Linked DNA regions of Saccharomyces cerevisiae S288C. Changing the gene in region 1 together with any one later gene gives a genetic interaction. Each region holds a gene or a part of one and is shown in the gene's direction. Other genes may lie near its edges.

Region 1 (3,423 bases):
GCTTGTCACTTCGGATATGTCTTCCTGGAAGTGATCTAACTTATGCTCTACTTCATCATCGATTTTGTCATCTTGGCGCCCATTTTCCGCATTCGCCTGTGTATCCTCTTTTGAATTTTCAAATTCAGGGGTTTCAAATGAGATCAATGCGCCAAAATAGTTTCTACCCTGTTTCTTGGACCTTGAATGGTGATTAGGGATTATTTTTCCGTAAACGTCGCCTTTTAAATTCGTTATATCCCAATTCAAGCCGGCAATTTTCAGATCAGGATATCCCGTAGGTAATCCAATGTCTTTCATCTTCATACACCATGGTGGTAGTTGACCTTCGGGTAAATTCATTATGGCACGAAGCTCTTGGCTAATTCTCCCCGGTCTCTTATGATCAACCATTCTTTTCCAGTTCGTTTCCTCGAAAAGATTCCTATTTTCATAATAGACGTCACCGAAGCATAACAAATGGTCAGGTTTCCAGTTGGCTCCTATCTTGAAAAACACATCGTGTAACTTCTTGTAATCCAAATCCAAGGCGCCCATTTTCGGCTGCACTCTTGCTCTTGAGGCCTCCTTTAGTGACTTTTCATCTTGACCATCCAGTCCGCTTTGCGGAAGCGTCGATCTCATTTGTTCTATATTTGTCTTCTTGATAATGTCAGGAAGTTCAAAAGGTCTTTTACCTAACAGAGAACGGCCAGATAGATATTCCTTCTTGGACTGCCAGTGGCTTGGAACAGGAATGACATTTTTGGTGCACTTAATTGACGCTAGTAAGCCTGGATATCTTGCGTCACAATCGTACCATTCTATAATTTGAGGATACGGTACCTGGCTTTTTAACTGCGAAAGTGAAGGTTTTTCAGTCTTCCTACGTTTTCTTGCCGATAGATGCTCCTCAATACCATCCGAGGGTGTATCCTCCAATTCATCTTCTGCTGTATGCTTTCTGTTCATAACTGGGTTTTTCTCAACAATAACGACATGATTGTTCTTTTCATCTTTCGTGATTTCCTTCGGCGTATCATTCTCTTGCACTTGAAATCGTTGTAAAACGTCTTTGAACTCTTTTTCTAACTTCGCATCCACTACCTTATTCGTCTTTCCTTTGCTGTTAGTCACCCCACCCTTTTTCTTTTGCTCAAGCCTTCTTGCATCAATCATGGCGGCGATCTCAGCCTTATTATTTACCACAGACGCATTCTTATTTTGGTTATTTCCGGAACGCTTCCTACTTTTGGTTCTAGCCATTTCACCACTATCTTTATGATCTGATGCTCTGCCTATAGATATATACTCTGTATGCTACTGCCTTCTTAATACCTTTCTAAACAATACCAATATACTGTATTGGATTTCTATATGGTTGAAAGTTATTATTCTTGCAATTATAGCCCTGTAATGAAGCTGCGTGATTGGACCTGTGCCCTCTTCTTCCATTACTTACCCTATCACTTTTCTTTCTCAAGACCTAGGTCCTGTCGGCAAATTCCGCTGCAATAACGCGAAGATCATGACTTTTTTCACTCAGAAGGCAGAGAATCACGATTGATAAAGATCACGCAAAAAAAAAAGATGATTGGCTAAATGCATAGGGCGACAAACATGGGCCCTTCTTTTGCACTCATGTTTTAGCTTCCTTTGTCCCATTGTGTAAACTTATGACAAGATATCGCACTCTAAAAAAAAAAAAGAAAAACGCATTAGCCTCTTGCATGGATCTTACCTTCTGTAACATTTATATATCTCGAGAAATCTACGGACATTTAAAAAACGCTGTCAATACAATCTTCTAGATATTCGGATTTGAATTTTGCAAAAAGTCCGAAGCTGCCCACCTCAAGTCATTGTTTCAACTCGCTTACGGTATATATATCTACTTTCATTGAGATATAAACAGCGCTGATACAATCTTTTTATATAAGTCTTTTGTACAAATAAAGCTAGGAAAAGCCCGACGTCATTATAGCTATGCCATCTACCACTAATACTGCTGCAGCAAACGTAATAGAAAAAAAGCCAGTCTCGTTTTCTAATATCCTATTGGGTGCCTGTTTAAACTTGTCAGAGGTGACTACATTAGGGCAACCTTTGGAGGTTGTTAAGACCACAATGGCTGCAAACAGAAACTTCACATTTTTAGAATCTGTTAAGCATGTCTGGTCAAGAGGTGGTATCTTGGGTTACTACCAAGGTTTGATTCCATGGGCATGGATCGAAGCCTCCACTAAAGGTGCTGTGTTGCTGTTCGTGTCAGCTGAGGCTGAGTATCGTTTCAAAAGTTTGGGGTTGAACAACTTTGCCTCAGGTATATTAGGTGGTGTCACGGGTGGTGTCACTCAAGCCTACTTAACCATGGGGTTCTGTACCTGTATGAAAACGGTGGAAATTACAAGACATAAATCTGCCTCCGCAGGTGGTGTCCCACAATCTTCTTGGAGTGTGTTCAAGAATATTTATAAAAAGGAAGGTATTAGAGGTATTAATAAGGGTGTTAATGCTGTTGCTATTAGACAAATGACCAACTGGGGTTCTCGTTTTGGTTTGTCCAGACTAGTGGAAGATGGTATCAGAAAGATCACCGGGAAAACCAATAAAGACGACAAGTTGAATCCGTTCGAGAAAATTGGTGCCAGTGCTTTAGGTGGTGGTTTAAGTGCTTGGAATCAACCAATCGAAGTCATTAGAGTTGAAATGCAATCTAAGAAGGAAGATCCAAACAGACCAAAAAATTTGACTGTTGGTAAGACATTTAAATACATCTATCAATCAAATGGTCTAAAGGGTCTTTACCGTGGTGTCACCCCAAGAATTGGTTTAGGTATCTGGCAAACTGTCTTCATGGTTGGTTTTGGTGATATGGCGAAGGAATTTGTCGCCAGAATGACTGGTGAAACCCCAGTTGCCAAACATTAGCGTGTATTGTACTATAAGTTTTTTTTAAAAAAATTAATTATTTAGCTTAGTCATTTTTTTTTTTTCTGAGGATATTGCTCTTATGCTGGGGTGCTTCCTATTTGTCTCAACTTGTTCTAATTGTACTAAGGTTATCAGCTATTTACTTCATGCAAACCTTAATATCTATAGATTCTTTGAAAGGAAGCCTTACCCATTTACCTCTGGCCGTTCATGAAATGTTGAAATTATTAAATTCTACAGAATTGATAATACATAAAAATAAACTATTAAAGTATCAGAAAAATATTTTATATCTTAAAATTCAAATATGCACAGTTCAGTAGAAAGTGGAAGGTCTCTTGTAGGAGAAAGTCTTGGTGGATTTTTGGACTCTGTGAGGCAATGGGAATTTCAAGTCCTTGGTCAAAAATTGCTTAACGTATTGTCTCTTGACGTCAGCAGTCTTTTCAATTTCAGCAACCTTCAAGATGTGAATAGATCTAAATCTAGCTCTGTGTCTGGCAGCCATGT
Region 2 (3,560 bases), on another chromosome or scaffold:
AAAAAAACGACCCCAGTGAGGGTTGAACTCACGATCTTGCGATTAACAGTCGCACGCCTTAACCAACTTGGCCATGGAGTCACTTTAAATTCTGCAGAACGTGAAAGGTTCGATTTCCATGATCTACACGATTTTAATCATCTGTAAGCCTTGCCATGAAGCTAAATTGGTGAATTTTTAAGAATTGTTTTGTTGGAACGAGAGTAATTAATAGTGACATGAGTTGCTATGGTAACAATCTAATGCTTACATCGTATATTAATGTACACCTCGTATACGTTTAAGTGTGATTGCGCCTATTGCAGAAGGAATGTTAAACGAGAAGCTCAGACAATACTGAAGCTGTGTTAAAGACCTATTAGTTGAACATGTTATGGTAGGTACATATATGAGGAATATGAGTCGTCACATCAATGTTTAGTAACTACCGGAATCACTATTATATTGGTCATGATTAATATGACCAATCAGCGTGTGTTTTATATACATCTCTTATTTAGTATAAGAAGATCAGTACTTATTTCTTCATTAATACTAATTTTTAACCTCTAATTATCAACAGAGGAATATGAGGATTCCTAGATCCTCGAGGAGAACTTCTAGTATATTCTGTATACCTAATATTATAGCCTTTTTCAACAATGGAATCCCAACAATTATCTCAAAAATCACCTAAGCCTCACATGCATGTTTTACGTTGTGGTTGATGATCTATTGATGTTGAGGTACCATATTTTGAAATTCATTAAAACAACTTCTACCGGGCGTGTGGTCTAGAGGTATGATTCTCGCTTAGGGTGCGGGAGGTCCCGGGTTCGAGTCCCGGCTCGCCCCCATTGATTTATTTTTATCAAATTTTTTAATATTGCATATCTTTAGTGGGCAAAAAATTTTTCCCTGGGCAAAAATATAAGAGAGCTCATCTTATTGTTGTCAGCCCAATGATTCCCTTGTCAAATTGAATTTTCGGATTTACTTGTTCAGGTACCCGCGTTAAGGGGCTGCCGCGCCTGTCACTCTAAGAAAAAAGGAGCCATCAAAAACCATTCAGCATTAACTAAAAACGCGGGTAGAGATTACTACATATTCCAACAAGACCTTCGCAGGAAAGTATACCTAAACTAATTAAAGAAATCTCCGAAGTTCGCATTTCATTGAACGGCTCAATTAATCTTTGTAAATATGAGCGTTTTTACGTTCACATTGCCTTTTTTTTTATGTATTTACCTTGCATTTTTGTGCTAAAAGGCGTCACGTTTTTTTCCGCCGCAGCCGCCCGGAAATGAAAAGTATGACCCCCGCTAGACCAAAAATACTTTTGTGTTATTGGAGGATCGCAATCCCTTTGGAGCTTTTCCGATACTATCGACTTATCCGACCTCTTGTTGTTTGAAAATGTCAATTGATATCCATCCATTATATAAATGCTCAAAACTTGCAGCAACTATTCTTTACCCTTCCCCTGTTATGGATTGCTAGTCTTAAGGGGGAAATTTGCTGTTTACTAAAATACAAACCAGGTTTGTTTTGGCTTTTATTTGCATTTAAGTAATTACAATTACAACCATTAAAAAGAAAATAAGGCAAAACATATAGCAATATAATACTATTTACGAAGATGTCAGCGATATTATCAACAACTAGCAAAAGTTTCTTATCAAGGGGCTCCACAAGACAATGTCAAAATATGCAAAAGGCTCTTTTTGCACTATTGAATGCTCGCCACTATAGTAGCGCCTCCGAACAAACGTTGAAGGAGAGATTTGCTGAAATTATCCCAGCAAAGGCAGAAGAAATTAAAAAATTCAAGAAAGAACACGGTAAAACCGTTATTGGTGAAGTTCTTTTGGAGCAAGCTTATGGTGGTATGAGAGGTATTAAAGGCCTTGTTTGGGAAGGTTCCGTGTTAGACCCCGAAGAAGGTATTAGATTTAGGGGTCGTACTATTCCAGAAATTCAAAGGGAACTACCAAAGGCTGAGGGTAGTACAGAACCTTTGCCAGAAGCTTTATTTTGGTTGCTTTTGACTGGTGAAATACCTACTGACGCTCAAGTTAAAGCCCTTTCTGCTGATTTAGCTGCCAGATCAGAAATTCCAGAGCACGTTATCCAACTTTTAGATAGCCTCCCAAAAGATCTACATCCAATGGCGCAATTTTCTATTGCCGTGACTGCTTTAGAAAGCGAGTCTAAGTTTGCCAAAGCATATGCTCAAGGTGTATCCAAGAAAGAATATTGGAGCTATACATTTGAAGATTCGTTAGATCTGCTGGGTAAATTACCTGTTATTGCTTCCAAAATTTATCGTAATGTGTTCAAGGATGGTAAAATTACTTCAACCGATCCTAATGCTGACTATGGTAAAAATTTGGCCCAACTTTTGGGCTACGAAAACAAGGATTTTATTGACTTAATGAGACTATATTTAACTATTCATTCTGATCATGAAGGTGGTAACGTTTCTGCCCATACTACACATTTAGTGGGTTCTGCCTTATCTTCGCCATACTTATCTTTGGCCGCTGGTTTGAATGGTTTAGCTGGCCCATTACATGGTCGTGCCAATCAAGAAGTTTTAGAATGGCTATTTAAATTGAGAGAAGAAGTGAAAGGTGACTATTCAAAAGAAACAATTGAAAAGTACTTGTGGGATACTTTGAACGCAGGGAGAGTTGTTCCTGGTTATGGCCATGCGGTTTTGAGAAAAACTGATCCTCGTTATACGGCTCAACGTGAATTCGCATTGAAACATTTCCCAGATTACGAGTTATTTAAGTTGGTCTCCACCATTTATGAAGTTGCCCCAGGGGTTTTAACTAAGCATGGTAAAACTAAGAACCCATGGCCAAATGTTGATTCACATTCCGGTGTTTTATTGCAATACTATGGTCTAACTGAGGCTTCGTTCTACACTGTATTGTTTGGTGTTGCCAGAGCTATTGGTGTGTTACCCCAATTAATCATCGATAGGGCTGTTGGTGCTCCAATCGAAAGGCCAAAATCATTCTCCACCGAAAAATACAAGGAGTTGGTAAAGAAAATCGAAAGTAAGAACTAAGGAAAATTTGATTTTTGATTCAGGGTATGCGACTATTCAAACACGTATTTTCATATACGAATGAGTAGTTTATAATTTATATAAATATATATTACATAAGGAAATGGCTATGACTTCATGATTTTTACGCTTTGAGTCCCCTATGCCTACCGGTTATGTTATATACTTGGCAAATGATATCAATGAATAGAAAACAAAATGCTCTTAAATTCCTGCAAAGCGCTTTCAAATCGAATTGTGGTGGGCTGGCGCGCTGATTTAGCAGTAAAATCTAGCCTGTAGTCGATATACTACGTCAAGGTGTAACTAACGTTTATATGTATATGAACCTGCAGAAGAAGCAAAATGACAAGGTTAATGCATCTTTATCTGTCCTAGAGTAGAAGATACACTAAAAAGTTGATAAAGCGAATATAATATGGTCATGTGAAAAAAGCAATCTCATAAAATTTTCTCTTTTTCCTTTTTTTCTTCTGTTCTTACCTCAAGATAAATGTCACTT
Region 3 (3,429 bases), on another chromosome or scaffold:
AATAGCAAATTAGGAAGAAAGCCACACATGCACATATATCGCATCACTTACCGAGCCTTAGAATGTGGTTGCCACACATTAGGACATGTTACCCCCCGCACCTAGCAGAAATATAGTATTAATCTATCAGTGCTCAACACAATGTGATATCAGTACAATTCTTCATGCCATGGTACGTCGTCTCTATTTTCTTTTATATTCTGTTTATTATATCATGTTCTAAAAATGTCATATATACAATTCTGAAAAGGTTTTTGACCCTTACGTAACGCTATTCGGTCAACTACTTGTGAGACATATATTGTTCAAATATGTAAATGAAGAAAAGTACGCCTATTACTAGGATCCACAATACCGTAAAGCCTGTTAAACAAGGAGGAACAATATATATATCATAATTTTTTTAGAAAGAAAAGCCAAAGAAACAGCATTTGCAGGCACAAATCCGTGATAATAATGCATAGAACAATATGTGAAACCCCACAAGGTTACTGGTCGGATGATGAGCGAGCCCAGAGAAACCAACAGACCTCTGTAAACATCACTATGCCTTATCACCACACTTTACCATAATGCATTGAAAGTGCAATTGGAGAAGCCACCAATAGACGAGCTATGATGATATATTTAGCGTCCCTTAAAATATCGACTTATACAGTGGATAACATTTCCGCTCGCATTCCTCGAAGAGCATTATTTCCAAACTACTGTTGAAAAAAAAAAAATACGAAGACGACGCTTACCTGAGCACCCAGGATGTACACTTCGCCACAAATTTTGAGAGGCCTTTTGTTGTGATATTAGTTGAAATATATAACCACTTAATCAGGCAAAAAGACAGCAGTCACTATTTCAAGTTGGTAAAAAAATCCTGTTTTCGCTAATTGTCGATTTGGCCTTTCACCTGGACTTGAAAGCTTCAATTACGGCCTGATACATTCATTCTTTATACTGACCTTTGCCCAATTTATTATCCAGAACTATAGCCATTAGGTTGCAGGCCACTGGGACCACCACTGACTGGAAAATATTCTATTGACGAATTTTCCGCAACTCATCGCTGATTAGTTTATGAACTTATCCCGTCGGAATGAGAAAGTTACATATGCAGGAATTCTCTACAAGCAGCAATAACATGCTTTTATTTTACTGTCGTATTGTAATTGCTTATTCGGTTCCAAACATGTCAGCTATGCCAATATTTTAGAAGAGTGGGAAAAAAAAGAGATGTTATAGACGAACGACAAAAGTTGTGAAAAACTCGAATGGAGTAATGGAGCAAGAAACAAGAATCTGTCATAGTCAATACGTGATTTTGATATGCTTTCAAGCTTCTGAGAACTTCATTCATTACACTCCACCACATATACTATACAACGAATAGCCCAGTCGAAGAGGTTATGATTGTGTTCATTTATTTTTTTACATGACAGAGTCTCCCTATTGATACTAAGCTTGCTGCAATAACTCTTCTTACTAAGAGGTAACTTACATCTTGACTTTTTAATGAAGTTCCCAGCCGATTACCATTATACGTCGCCGTTTCGTTCATGTAAATATTCAAATATACTACACTTTATATCTTTGCTTCTTATATTTTCGCGCGTAGGTTTGCCTAATTACATTTTTATATTCCTCATCAATAAAGCCGCCAACAAAGAGCACAGGGTAGAAACTCTGCTGTCTGGGAACTCGGCTAACGCTTGTAAGCTATTTAATATTCTCAAATCATTTCAACACCTCTTTTTTTTTTTTCAAATATGTACTATTTTCTCTATTTCCATTAAGTTAGTCTTACTGAAGAGTCAAGAATATGGAAGAATTCCTGCGGAATTTTCAATTATTAGAAGTGAAAAAAAAAAAAAAGAAGAACAATGAAATTTAGTCTCACTTTAGCGTGATATATAAAACGTAAAATGTCGAAGCCAACGTAAAATTAAAAACATTTTGATGTCACAATGAAAGAACTCCAAAGTAGAGCTTGAATTATAAATTAGCATTTTACCGATGTCCAGTAAAGCTACCAAAAGTGACGTAGATCCATTGCACTCGTTTCTGGCAGGGTCCCTAGCCGGTGCTGCTGAAGCATGTATAACATATCCTTTTGAGTTTGCCAAAACAAGGCTGCAGCTGATTGATAAGGCCTCCAAGGCATCAAGAAATCCTCTGGTATTGATATATAAAACTGCAAAAACTCAGGGCATTGGTTCCATTTATGTCGGATGTCCCGCATTTATTATTGGAAACACCGCTAAGGCGGGTATTAGATTTCTTGGCTTTGATACCATTAAAGACATGCTAAGAGATAGTGAAACTGGAGAACTAAGTGGTACAAGAGGGGTGATAGCTGGGTTAGGTGCGGGACTATTAGAAAGTGTTGCCGCAGTGACTCCTTTTGAAGCAATCAAAACTGCTTTGATCGATGATAAACAATCTGCTACACCAAAATACCATAATAATGGGCGCGGTGTAGTACGAAACTATTCATCATTAGTCCGTGATAAAGGATTTTCTGGTCTTTATCGTGGTGTTTTGCCAGTTTCCATGAGACAGGCCGCAAACCAAGCCGTTAGATTGGGTTGTTACAATAAGATTAAGACCTTGATCCAAGATTATACGGATTCGCCAAAAGACAAACCTTTATCATCCGGGTTAACCTTCTTAGTGGGTGCATTTAGTGGTATTGTGACGGTCTATTCCACCATGCCCCTTGATACTGTGAAAACAAGAATGCAAAGTTTGGATTCCACCAAATACTCCTCTACAATGAATTGTTTTGCAACCATTTTCAAAGAAGAAGGGTTAAAGACGTTTTGGAAAGGTGCTACGCCTAGACTTGGGAGATTGGTCTTGAGTGGTGGTATTGTTTTCACTATCTATGAAAAGGTCTTAGTTATGCTAGCCTGAAATGTATTATTGTGTACAATATATCATCTAATGTTTTCTACTCGTTATAAGTCTATTTACCAGCCGATCACTTAAAAAAGTTATATATCTCTTTTTATCATAATGAAGAAGATGGCTTATGCTTGATTTTGACTTTGGTTGAGGTATTTCTTTTCCAATTTTTTGACTTGAATGTAGTCGTATATACTCTTCAGGGTGATAAATAGCCCAAGAAATGCCACAAAAACAGCCAACCATGGTATGTTTTGTTTTTCTTCATCCAGACCGTGATTCAAATGTGATTCAAATTTATCTTGTGTCGTTGATTGTGAATTTAGACGAACATCATCGAATTCATTTGGATCCTCTAATTCCATTCTATTTAAGCTTTTATTTTTGCCGACTTTTGAAGTAACATCATTGGGAATCATTGAATAACCATATCCAATGAACGTTAACCCTAATCCAAACCTTGAACCTTGCTTTGCTGCGTGAGATGTGTGTAAAATGTAGGTTATTAAAAATCCAATGAACTGAAAACTC
Region 4 (4,776 bases), on another chromosome or scaffold:
TTGTTTTCATTCAAAGTGTCCATCGTAGGACATGAAGGGAGGAAATCACTTTCTGCAGTGTTAGTGGACCCGACAGGCTGTGTTCGCGCCTGATTTAAAGAACCATGAATCAGTGATAGATACTCTGTTTCATCACTTTTTGTAGTTGGCAAGAAAACTGATTCTGCACTTGTTGCAATGGAAATTTCCAGCACACTTTTCTTATTATATAACGGTGTTTGCTTGATGAAACCACGATCCGCTAAATAGTCCGATAGCACCCTATTAATAAACATAGTGCTATTACTAGCATGATGTGTTATGAATGACCTAACAATATCATTATTACTAGATATTTGTTTTGCCGCGACTGGATCTGACTCTCTCCTCAACCCGGTGTCTTGCCTTGTGTGTAACTGGTCTATGGTGGTATACGGAACAGAATTCCTGTGCCTATCCGGTTGGTAAGATCCCGTAATATTGTAAGCCTTAGTGCCAACATCTGAAGGAAAACTGTTCCCCCTACACATGGCAGTTGATGCGGTAGAATAGTTACGGTTCATCAAATTGGAATAATCGTCCATACTAGATGTTGGACTATTACCAGTTCCAAAAAAAGAAGAAAGGGCGTCCCTAACACTAGATGACCTCCTTCTACCACTAAATCCTGACGATTTTTGTGGCGAGAGGGAGGTAGAAATCATCTCTCTGTTACGGGCTAGCCTTTGCAATATATCACCCTCGTCGCCTGCAGAAACGTTCTGGACGACATCTCTCTTGTTGCCGTTGCTCGCAATTGCTATTGGGACAGTAGATTGCATGATTGACTTTGCTTACTAGTCTGACTGATTACCCTTGGAGAGCCATCATAATAAATAAAACAGAGAAACGACGATATATATAGTCCAAACCGTGACAACTATGCAGGGAACGGGAGACGGGATTCAATAAGCCGGGGGTCTTTTCCATGTGATACCGAGTAAGGCATAGCCATCATTTGGCAGATCTACAAAATAAAGAAGCCCAGGGTTTGGCCGTGCAGAATCGCTGCGCCAACCCCGGATTTTGCATTTCTTATTCCACTAGGGCTGGTCGTGGGGTACGTGGGGAGCGGTATCCCTTAAAATGAAAAAAAAGAAACTATACCACCCACGCATCCAAACGACCGGGCGAGCGGGTAATAGATGGTTCTATTCTTTAGCCGCCGAAGCTTTCTTCTCTATATACATGTAAATGTATATAATTCCGGAAGTGTGGTCCTGCTACGAACAACACAAACCGATTAATTGATAATGGAAAGAGGAATGAGGTTGGGACAAGTAATACCAACTGGGGCTACAGGAAGGTGGTGAAAGAGGGTATCACATATAAGAACAAACCGTTTATTCGATTATTTAAATCTATTTTAGGCCACGAAGGTAGAGAGGTTGCGAGTGAAAACAACTAACTTTCTTTACGATATTTCTCAATTGGAACTGACAGCGTTAAAGTCCATATTTTGCTACTGATTGCTTTTCTTTGGTGTTATCTACCTTAAGAGAAAAAAAATTCAAATGAAGATTACCCGACTCTGAGTTTTGACGTCCTTAGCTGTTTGTATTCACTGAATTTAGTGGGCTTGGCCATATGAGAATTACAACTAAATCATACTTTTTCGAGATTTTATACTGCTAATATTGGAGAAGAAATATTGACCATCTTGATTTAGCAACGAGAAAGACCTGAACACCATAATGGGCTCTTCGTTGAGAAGCTTTATCAAAGACGTTCGTGGTGCCAAAACACTGGCAGATGAAAGGGCAATTATAACGAAACAATCTGCTAAAATTAGGACAAAATTGAGAGATGACCATCTACCACATGAAAAAAGGCGAGTAAATATCCAGAAACTTCTGTATCTATACATTCTAGGGGAAAAGACACATTTCGGTCAGGTGGAGTCTATCAATTTAATTGCTTCTGACGATTTTGTCGATAAAAGATTAGGCTATCTGGCCGCAACTTTATTGTTGGACGAATCTGAAGATTTATTGACACTCTTAACGAACATGTTGAACAACGATTTGCATCATCCCAACAAATATGCAGTGTCACTTGCACTAACCTCATTAGGCTTTTTGAGCTCCCCTGAATTAGCCAGAGATTTATACCCAGACGTCGAAAATATCATCAAAAATTCAAGAGACCCTTTCCTCTTGAAAAAAGCGCTTCAATGTGCTGCCAAACTAATTTTCAAAGACGTTTCACTTTTAGAAATCTTCAACATCGAAGACATTACTAAGATATTGTCTAGTCATTCAATATGTACTCACGGTGTACTTTTAGGCGTTACGAAAATCATACAATCTATTTTGTTAATTGGATTGAACAGAAAAAAAGATGAGGATGAAGATGAAGACGGTATTGATTACAGCAATGACATCTTGTCTCCATTATCTTTACTTTTGCGTGATTTTTTCATTCGTTTGGAAAATATGAATTCTAAAAATATTGAACCTGGATATGATGTCCAAGGTATTTGTGACCCATTTCTGCAGTGTGAAATAATTTACACTTTAAAACTATACTTTCAAGTTGGTGAGCTCTTAAATTCGAACAATGTTTTGGACTACAAAGATAATTTCTGCGATTTATTGACTCGTATTGCGACGAATACGGATTCAACGAAAAACAGCGGACAGGCCATTCTTTATGAGACCGTGAAGACGATCTTTTCGTTGGATTTGAACCAGCCTCTACGTGTCCTTGGTATTAACATCTTGGCCAAGTTTCTTGCAGGAAAAGATAATAATACTAAATACGTTTCATTAAACACCTTATTAAAAGTTGTTCCCCAAGAGCCTACCGCAGTACAAAGGCATAGAAAATTCATTTCTCATTGTCTGCAGGATACCGATGTGTCGATCCGCATGAGAGCGTTAGAGTTGAGCTTCGCCATCTTGGACGATTCAAATTTAGTGGAATTGGTTAACGAATTGATGAAATTTTTGGCAAAACAGGATGAAGATTCAAAAGATCTCATAATATACACTATAGATCACTTAATTGACACTTTTGATACCCGCGTTGTCAAAGATGAAAGCTGGAAATTAGATGTTTTCTTTAATATCTTAAAATTAGTGGGATCGTTTATCAACTATGAAAAAATTAATGATATTCTAATCATAATAAATAATACGAGCCAGTTATCCGACAAATCTGAATTTTTACGGAAAATGCTGACAATTTCACTAAATGGAACATCAGCGGAGATTTCCGAGGAAAATATTGGTTGGCAGTTGGTTTTGATTTGGTGCATTGGCGAATATGGCGATTTAGTACTCAACGAGGGCAATAAAAATGGTGCAGACATAATCAATGAGTCATCTATTACTGATTACTTACTAACTTTGCAAGAACTCTACACAGCAACGAATCTGAAGATAATCAATTACATTTTAACAGCAGCATTAAAATTATCTGTGAGGTTCCATGACGCGAAAAATATTGAAAAACTAAGACAACTGATATTGAGCTACACGGATTCCACTGATTTATCACTGCAAATGAAAAGCAATCAATACGAGATATTTTTCAATCAGTCAATTTCTGTGAAGAAGATCATTTTAGAAACAATGCCTAAATTTGAAAAAATTACCGAGGAACAGGATAATGGAAAAGCTCTATCGAAAAACCTTATCTCCAACGAACCAGTTGATCTGCTGTCAGATTTATTGGGTGAGGATAGCAAGGCTGAAAGCAAGGCTTCTACTGGTGACAATGTGAAACCAATTGACATATTAGAAGAGATTTTTGGAGAGAAGAATGACATTGCTCAGGTGCCCAAAAATGCGAACAAGGAAGAATCAATCAATCATTCGTCGGCAGTGGAGGCAAACTCAGGTGTCACCTTACCATTGGATGCCAACAAGATATATGACAGTTCCTCACTGAATGTATATGCTTCCTTGCTCTCTGCAAACTCTGGATTAGCACATTTGGATTTATATTTTCAGGCAAAGTCTTTAATATCTGACTTAAAAACTTTCTGTGCCGTTCCTAAAGCTCAAAAGCTAACACTAGGCCAGTTATATCCATCTTCCACAATAAACGCCAGCCAAATTTGCAAGCAGTCATTGAAAATTTCTGGATCTGGGAAACTGAAGTTAAGAGTTAAGTTGGATTTTCATTTAAATGGCTCTTCATCTATCACCAATGAACAGTTCGATCACAAATTCGATGAAACTCTATAAAAAATGCCTTTAAAATTACAGAACATAACATGATTAATGACCTTGCGTTGGATGGTCTGTCGCGCATATCAAGAGACACGTCACGACACAACACGATGAATAGAAATGCTATCTTCTGGGACACCATAAACGACTCCAAAATATTTTATATGTTAAGTAGCGATATATAACAACTAATAACATATGTACTTATATGCTCTCAATAGAATAGATAACAAAGAGAACAAAAACGAGAGTTTGATTTGAGGATATAGGTGAGTTGCCTCTTAATGAACAGAAGCACCTGTAGCCTTAGAAGCCTCATTGACGGAAGCTCTAATTTCATCCTTTTCTGTCTTGCTAACATCTCTTAGGATATATCTGTCGGTCAATGGGGCTACGATCTTTTGATAGATCATTCTAGCGCCACCAGTTTGAGGCAAGGCAATGTAGATTAAGAAAACGGTTTTCAAAAACCAGTAGAATGGAATCAAATATAGAATTGCCTTGGACCAGAATTCAATGACACTCAAAAATGAAAAGACAATCCAGTAGGTCAAGAGTTGTGTGTCATCGGTGGACGTTG

What was found.
Region 2: mutations in YHM2 (region 1) and CIT1 together harm fitness more than expected from each alone (negative genetic interaction), as found in Saccharomyces cerevisiae (2 studies listed by BioGRID).
Region 3: of YHM2 (region 1) and CTP1, a mutation in one rescues a mutant of the other (synthetic rescue), as found in Saccharomyces cerevisiae (one study listed by BioGRID).
Region 4: mutations in YHM2 (region 1) and APL4 together harm fitness less than expected from each alone (positive genetic interaction), as found in Saccharomyces cerevisiae (2 studies listed by BioGRID).

What each region holds. Positions count from the first base shown.
Region 1 is NC_001145.3:749,996-753,418, forward strand, and holds YHM2 (Yhm2p), read left to right. Parts: upstream 1-1,965; coding exon 1,966-2,910; downstream 2,911-3,423. Other genes in the region: U2 snRNP complex subunit CUS1, read right to left, coding at 1-1,245; 60S ribosomal protein eL20 RPL20A, read right to left, coding at 3,230-3,423. UniProt on the Saccharomyces cerevisiae protein: Mitochondrial antiporter which catalyzes the transport of citrate and oxoglutarate across the membrane. Also shows specificity for oxaloacetate, and to a lesser extent succinate and fumarate.
Region 2 is NC_001146.8:629,120-632,679, reverse strand, and holds CIT1 (citrate (Si)-synthase CIT1), read left to right. Parts: upstream 1-1,618; coding exon 1,619-3,058; downstream 3,059-3,560. UniProt on the Saccharomyces cerevisiae protein: Specific citrate synthase with catalytic activity only with acetyl-CoA.
Region 3 is NC_001134.8:783,151-786,579, reverse strand, and holds CTP1 (Ctp1p), read left to right. Parts: upstream 1-2,007; coding exon 2,008-2,907; downstream 2,908-3,429. Other genes in the region: YBR292C (uncharacterized protein), read left to right, coding at 1,507-1,878; BSD2 (Bsd2p), read right to left, coding at 3,024-3,429. UniProt on the Saccharomyces cerevisiae protein: Transport of citrate across inner mitochondrial membrane.
Region 4 is NC_001148.4:623,904-628,679, reverse strand, and holds APL4 (AP-1 complex subunit gamma), read left to right. Parts: upstream 1-1,712; coding exon 1,713-4,211; downstream 4,212-4,776. Other genes in the region: CSR2 (Csr2p), read right to left, coding at 1-800; YOP1 (Yop1p), read right to left, coding at 4,478-4,776. UniProt on the Saccharomyces cerevisiae protein: Adaptins are components of the adapter complexes which link clathrin to receptors in coated vesicles. Clathrin-associated protein complexes are believed to interact with the cytoplasmic tails of membrane proteins, leading to their selection and concentration.